2 linked regions of the Elephas maximus indicus genome follow. The main gene of each other region encodes a partner of the protein of the gene in region 2 in a complex. Links are inferred from orthologs where the notes say so. Each region holds a gene or a part of one and is shown on either strand. Other genes may lie near its edges.

What was found. Proteins that work in one complex are often made in the same cells at the same time.
Region 1: the proteins of KLB (region 2) and FGF19 are in contact, whole or in part, in a crystal structure (PDB 6NFJ), measured with the Homo sapiens proteins. The link is inferred for Elephas maximus indicus from reciprocal best matches to the Homo sapiens genes KLB and FGF19. Residues at the interface, in NP_783864.1 of Homo sapiens: Phe379, Lys380, Val392, Leu394, Trp419, Phe420, Thr421, Asp422, Val425, Thr431, Tyr434, Met435, Asn438, Tyr643, Glu693, Arg696, His743, Asn824, Phe826, Met832, Gln848, Phe849, Leu850, Gln851, Ile853, Leu862, Phe931, Phe942; in NP_005108.1 of Homo sapiens: Leu192, Thr194, Asp195, Ser196, Met197, Pro199, Phe200, Leu202, Val203, Thr204, Ser211, Pro212, Ser213.

What each region holds. Positions count from the first base shown.
Region 1 is NC_064825.1:132,523,399-132,527,145, reverse strand, and holds the start of FGF19 (fibroblast growth factor 19), read left to right. Parts: upstream 1-1,078; coding exon 1,079-1,319; intron 1,320-1,566; coding exon 1,567-1,670; intron 1,671-3,747. UniProt on the Homo sapiens protein: Involved in the suppression of bile acid biosynthesis through down-regulation of CYP7A1 expression, following positive regulation of the JNK and ERK1/2 cascades. Stimulates glucose uptake in adipocytes. Activity requires the presence of KLB and FGFR4.
Region 2 is NC_064823.1:121,435,147-121,438,893, reverse strand, and holds the start of KLB (beta-klotho), read left to right. Parts: upstream 1-1,431; coding exon 1,432-2,256; intron 2,257-3,747.

The DNA.
Region 1 (3,747 bases), on a different chromosome or scaffold from region 2:
GAAGGGAACGGAGGCCCAGACCTGCCTCCCTCCACCTGGTGCGCCCGGGCCTGAACTGGGAAGTGGGGGGTAGGGGGCGGCCCCAACCCAGCAGCTTGCAAGCCCACCGTGCCCCGAAAGTCGTCTTCAAATGGCAACCCTCCGGGCTCACCTCCCGGGCCGGGGCGGACGCAGAGAATCCCGGGGAGCACGGGGACCGGGCCGAACCTTGGGCTGGAGGGCCCCCTGGCGGCGGCGCGGCGACGGCTCCCCATTGTCTCCGCCGGGCGGAGATCACAACGGCCCCCCGTCGGGTGGCGATTTCCGCGAAGAAAGGGGGCCGGGGGCGGGATCGCGCGCGGATAAAGCCGGGAAACGTGAGAGGGTCGGAACTGCAGGGGGAGATTCAAACAGACGGCTTTTAGGTCTGGGGATATGCAGAGGCCTTGGGACTGTCGAAGGAGGGGTCTGAGTGTGGCCTTTCAAGGGGAGGGGGCTCTAAAGCCGGGCGAGGCTTTTCCGGACCGCGGGTGAGAAAAGCAAAGCTCAGTGACCCCCAATCTCCGGTTCCGGGATTCCTGCCTACGCCCCTGCTGGCGCTCCGCGCCGAACGCATCCCTGGGGAAGCCAGAGGCCCCGCGAAAGGCTCCGTGGTCCACGTCCTCGCTTAGAAAACCTAACGCCCCCAGCCCAGAAAACTCAGCCTCCGGCCGGCGGGGAGGAGCTCCCCGGACCCTCCAGCGAAGCCGGGCCTCCTCCTCCCCTCGATCCCGCGGCCGGGGCGGGGTCACCGGGGAGGGGGCTGGGGCGGAGGCGGGGTGTGAGTGGGTGTGCGCGGGGGGCGGAGGCTTGATGCAATCCCGATAAGAAGTGCGCGAGTGTCGAGGGGCACCTACTTGCCGGCTGATAAGGCGCGCTATATTAGACAGTCGCTAGCGCCGCCGCGCCGTCGGAACGGGAGCGCAGCGCGCCAGGGCGCCAGGAGCGCACGGCTACCTCGAGGCTAGCGGCCACCACCCGCACGCTCAGCCCGCAGCGTGCCCAGCCCGGCGCCCCCAGCCTCTCGCCGCCGGAGCCACCAGGAGCTGAGGGTGGTGCCATGCCGAGGGCTCCGAGCTGGCGCGCGGTGCTCCGCGCCCTGGCCCTGGCCGGCCTCTGGCTGGCGGCGGCCGCGCCTCCCCTGGCCTTCTCGGACTCCGGGCCGCACGTGCACTACGGCTGGGGGGAACCTGTCCGTCTGAGGCACCTGTACACTGCCAGCCCACACGGCCTCTTCAGCTGTTTCCTGCGCATCCGCGCCGACGGCGCAGTGGACGGCGCGCGGGGCCAGAGCGCGCACAGTGAGTGCCTGCCGGGCCCTCGGGTTCCCACCGTCCCCCTCCCTGGCACCCCCTCCCCACTTCCCTCCGCTCCAGCGGGCCGCCACTCCCGGGAACTCCGAATCTTGGCACCTTTGTGTTCCACTTTCATCCCGGGTCCCCGACCCCGCGCGAAGCCAGGGAGGGGCACGGACCCGGGGACCGACGGCATCCGGGCGTCGCGGGCCCTCGGGCCCCGGCTGCAGCTTCTTACTTTCCTTTCGCCTAGGTTTGCTGGAGATCAAGGCGGTGGCGCTGCGGACCGTGGCCATCAAGGGCGTGCAGAGCGCCCGATACCTCTGCATGGACGCCGACGGCCGGCTGCAGGGACTGGTAGGTGTCCCCACGGGGCGGGACGCGCCAGACCCACGCCTGTCCCGGGCGGGGGTAGGGTTTGCGGGACCGAATCCGGAGTTGCCCGGATCCCCCTTCCCGGGCCCTCATTGAATTCCGAGGGGGAAATGGCAGGGCCGATTAAGCTGCGTCCGACCCCCTCCCAGCCCCCCCACGGAAGTGGGAAAGGCTGCTGTTTTTGGTCGCAGCTTGCAGCGGGAGAGTGGTTGGGAGCAGTTTTTGCATTCCCAATTGAGCTAAAAGCTGCCCGGAGGAAACCATTATCCGCTTCCTTTGATATTAAACAGGAAAACCCACCTCGGCCCATTCAGCCGCAGCCTGCATGTGGGTGGTCCTCCCTCCATTTCCCTCCCTGTGGTTTAAAGAGAGAGAGACCGAGGCTGTATGTTCACAACTTGGATCTTAAATCACTCTTCAAATAAGTCAGAAAAACCCAGTGCGTTGGAGGTTGAGCAGATGTTTAAGCATGAATTTGCGTGTTAGGACGTTTGAATTTCGGCGGTGGCGCTTATCCTTCTGTTGTACTCACCTGTCCGGGAAACTTTTTTTTTGAAGGGGGGAGGGGGCTAGAGGAGTGCATGAACTCCCTAGGTGGTGCAAACGGTTAAGCGCTCTACAACTGCGCAGAAAGGTTGGCAGTTCAAATCCACCCAGAGGCGCTCGGAAGACAGGCTTGGCGATCTGTTCCTGAAAGATTGCAGCCTAAAAACCCTGTGGAGCAATTCTACTCTACATATGGGGTCGCCACGAGTCTCCTTTGCCTCCACGGCAACGACAGGAGGGTACGTGGGGTGGCCCAGGTAACTACTGAAGCTTCTGGGGGAAGAGTGCGCAAGCTGGGCCTCTGGCCCAGAGGGAACAAAGGCGCGCGAGTTCAAAGGAACGAGCACTCGCCCCTCCCGCGCGGAGCCAGGCGCTCAAAGAGCCTGCGTGAAGTCCCGGGGCCCCCCACGCAGCCCGGCTCTGATGGAGAGGCCCGAGCCAGGGGTGGGGGAGGCTGCGCTTCCCGGGGTGCCCCCGCCTCAGCCAAGATGCAGATGCGCGCCTCCACTGGCGCGATCAGCAGCTCCTTTGTGAACCACAGCGCCAAGCTTTTTAGCATCTCTAGATTGTTTTGTGCCTCTGACGGGCATTTATTCAGAGTCCTTGCTTCTTTATTGCGGAGTCCTCTGTGAAAGACTGTGAAAGAACGCAAAGAAAGGAGGGGGCCGGAGTACTGAAAGCTGACCCCTAGAGCCACTCCAAACCCGTAGTGGCAACTTTTGTTATGTTGACATTTACTTAGGACAGGGGCAGCTAATGGTGGGCCTGGCGGAAGGGGCCAGTGGGTCTAACCCAGCCTTCTTCCCCTAATCCAAATCGGGGAGTCTGTTGGGGGGGATCTCTCCACTTAAAATCCCGTTCTGCCTCTGGATCCCTTGGGCCTGGCCCCGCAAAGATCGTGGTTGGTTTTTTTTTCTTCTCCAGCGGAAATTCCCCATTCTTCTATGAAGGTGAAATCGTTTCATTTTCTACGTGGAGCAAGCAGGCGGTGCTACTTTCCCCCAAACAACAGCAGAGTAATGTAGAGGCCTCTGATGCAATGTGTTTTTACTTCTCTTGCTTTTAAACATCTACTGATTGGCATATTTTTGGAAATTCAGGAGAAGTCACCCTTGCCATACTATGGCTTTGTGGTGGCTTTGTGCCAGAGTCCCGAGCCGTGACTGGTTGCGTCATTCACGTTATCAGCATATCTCATCCACCTGCGGTTCAATAACCTCATAAACCTGGGCAGAAATGAAGCTGGGTGCTTCCTGGGATTATGTTTACTGCCCAGCCCTTCCAGGCTGCCCTGTCCCTGGTGCCTTTCAGACCTGCCCCTGAAGTGGTAAGGACACTTTCCAGATTAGCACAGGGCTGGCCCATTGGCACCTCTCTTAGGGCTCCCCCAAAAGCAAACCTGTTGCATGGAGTGGATTCTAACTCATAGTGACCCTGTAGGACAGAGTAGAACTGCCCCATAGGGTTTGCAAGGCTGTCATCTTTATGGAAGCAGATTGCCACATCTCTCTCC
Region 2 (3,747 bases):
TGCCTTCTTCTTGGTCTGTCCTAGTCTGGAAAGGTCTTCTGAAACCTGTGTACTACGGGTGACCCTACTGGTATTTGAAATACGGTGGATAGCTTCCAACATCGTAGCAACACGCAAGCCACCACACAACCACAAACTGACAGACGGGTGGTGAAGACATTATGGCTAAAAAGAAGGGTGCTGCATGTAGTGAACGGAAAAGAAATGAAACTAAAAATGCAGGCAGGAGCCAGAAAAAAAGTGTCTTTTGTGCTACATCCTAGCACCACTTAATAATCTTTCTGTTTCGGATCTCAAATAAAAATAGTATTTATGAAACATTTACTATCTGCCAGTCTCTGTTATACATGCTTTACATGTATTAACTTATTTAATACAACAATCCATGAAGTAGATACTATGATTATGCCCCTTCATACATAAGAGGAAACTGAGGTTCAGAAGGTTAAATAACTTGTCCCATGTCACACAGCTTGATTTAAATTCAGGCAGGCTCCAGAAACTATTAACTAATTGCTCTGCCTCTCTTTAGTATGTGATACCTCAAGTATTAAAACTGTTAAATTTTTCAAAGGTTATTTGCAGGCTCTAAATTCTGTACAATATTTCTTTCTGTTTTTTCTTGTTTTGGAATCATGGTATTTAAATTGTCATGGTTTCTTATGTTTTAATATCTGAATGTACTTTTTGCTTTCACTGTTTTCTTTTTCAGACTTTGGTTTTTTGTAATTATTGACTATTTACTTAAGTGAATTTTCACAATAATTTTTGAACTAAAATTTGGTATTTAAGAATTTTGGTTAAGACTGTATAGAATATGTATATTAAATTGGAAAATACTTAGCATTTCCATCCAGAAAATGCTATACTTATCATTCAAGTGTTCTTTCAAATCTATTAATACAGTTGTATAATTTTCTCAAAATAGGTCACATACTTATTGTTAAGATTATTCTTATATGTGTGATAATTTTTGTGAAGAGTAGTATTTTATTATTTCTAACTCTTTATTATTGGTATATAAAATTGCAATGTACCCGTAGAAAGATTTTTTCTGAAATATGAAATAATAAAATTACTACTCAAAAACTGTAGCAATAGGTATGTATCTTATTCAAAACATTCAGAGAAGATTTGAGTCAATATGGAATGCTCCACAGAAAAGATGGCATTTTTATTCATTCGGATTTGTTGCTTGTATGTGTTTTAGTTACACATTCAAACTATTGTCACTGATGCATTTTCATCTAATTTCTTCATAACGGGAGAGAACTAAGCATGTTGGTGACTGTAATAGGGCCACCTCCCTCAAATTACGTTGCTCTCCATGACCCATCCTAAGTCTCACAGTTCAAGCTAATCATTGACAGAGCTTTACAATCACAAGCTTTTACTGAAGCGTTGATAAGACAGTCCAGCAGTTAGTGGCAAATGAAGCCAGGCTGTTCGGCAGGATCTCCAGGGAATGAATGGATTTTCTTCAGCACCGATGAGAGAAACACATGCTACAGGAAAACAATGTCCAACGGGGGACTACAAAGATCTGTCATCCTGTCAGCATTTATTCTTCTACGGGCTGTGACTGGATTCTCTGGAGACGGAAGAGCTATATGGTCTAAAAATCCTCATTTTAGTCCGGTAAATGAAAGTCAGCTGTTTCTCTATGACACTTTTCCTAAAAACTTTTTCTGGGGTGTTGGGACTGGAGCATTTCAAGTGGAAGGGAGTGGGAAGAAGGATGGAAAAGGACCCTCTATATGGGATCAGTTCCTCCGTACACACCTGAACAACGTCAACAGCACGAATGGTTCCAGTGACAGCTACATTTTTCTGGAAAAAGACCTATCGGCCCTGGATTTTTTGGGAGTTTCCTTTTATCAATTTTCAATTTCCTGGCCCAGGCTCTTCCCCGATGGAATAGTAGCAGTTGCCAATGCAAAAGGTCTCCAGTATTATAATACTCTTCTGGATGCTCTAATACTCAGAAACATTGAACCTATAGTTACTTTATACCATTGGGATTTGCCTTTGGCATTACAAGAAAAATACGGAGGGTGGAAAAATGAAAGCATCATAGATATCTTCAATGACTATGCCACATACTGTTTCCAGACGTTTGGGGACCGGGTCAAATACTGGATTACAATTCATAACCCATATCTAGTTGCTTGGCATGGGTATGGAACAGGTATGCATGCCCCTGGAGAGAAGGGAAAGGTAGCAGCTGTCTACGCTGTGGGACACAACCTCATCAAGGTACTGTACAGCTGGCTTCCTATTGTAACTTCACAGTATAAGCAGCATGAGTTAGAAAAAATAAAAAATGTACCTTCGGTTTAGAGAATCCTCTTTTCATTAAAATCAACTCAACTAATTTTAGGTCAATGCACAAGTTCCATCAAATTCAAAAATTCATATTTAGAGCAGTGTGTGTTTTATTTATATAAGCTATCAACATATTAATCTGGTTGATTTCATTTATACTTTCAGACTATTTTAAAACCCACAATTATATATTAGAGTGTGAGAATATGAGTTTACTTTCATTTTGTGGAAAGCCACTACTTTACAAATGCAATTGGTGAAAGCTTTCTCTGTCAACATGCAACTGTTTCAGAATCATGTTAAGGCAAGATCATTTCCTATATGTATTTGTTGTTAATATTGCTATTCTTAGTGGTACTTAGCTGTAGTAAACTAAATAATGTTACCTAACTGATACATATGAAATATAGGAATTGAAATAAATATACTTCCAGTTGGTTTTACTTGTATTACATTGCAGGAAATATGCAATTAATTTTTCTGGTGGTTAAAATTAAACAAGTAATACAAAAGTTGGGAAAAACTTGCCTTAGTATTTTAAAACAGTATATTTCAAAACCCAGAGTTTAGATTGGTAAATGTTAAAGTTATTAAAACAATACTGAAAATGCAAGCCAAATAGTAGCTAACATTTATTGAGTGCTTACTACGTGCCACAGACCACATTAAGCACTTGCAAGCACTCTCACATTTAATCCTCGTGACAACCTTAGGGACTAAGTCCTATTATTATCCTCATTCTAAAGATGAAAAAGCTGAAGCTTAGTAACGTTAAGTAACTCGCCCAAGGTTATAGAGACAAATGCAGCTGTTGTGAACATAGGATTTATAAACGAACCACATAACTAAATGCTAAATATCTTTATTTAAGAACTTTAAAAAAGAGTAATCTTTTAGGAATTTGCAAGAGTTTTAGCTTCACATTGAAGCTGCCAGTCACTGGAAGCAGGTATAATTTTTTAAGTCAAATAGATTACTTGGGGAAAGCAAATTACTCTGAACACCTGTTATATTTTGAAAATGGAAAAAAAAAACTTTATTAATAGGGGATGTGCTAGAAGAAATCGTTTAAATTTTGAATAATCAAATGTTACCCAAAAAAAAACCCAAATGTTAAGTATACAGAAATAGAAAATGTATAGAAACGGAAAATTCCTCCATTAACTAAATTTTTTACTTGTAAAAAGATCTGCTAACTCCTCTTTTCTTTTTGAACTTTCTGGATTATTATACATGTGGACTTGTGCTGTGGTTTTAGTCATATCTGCCCTTGCAGTGAACAGATTTCATTTTTTTCAAGTTTATTTGCATATTTTTGAATAGAGTTGTATATAGAACATATTATTAATATGTGAATAAACTTTGATTTGACAAAATAAGAACTTCAGGGGAGAAAACTTACAGGTATTTAACAGCTCTTAA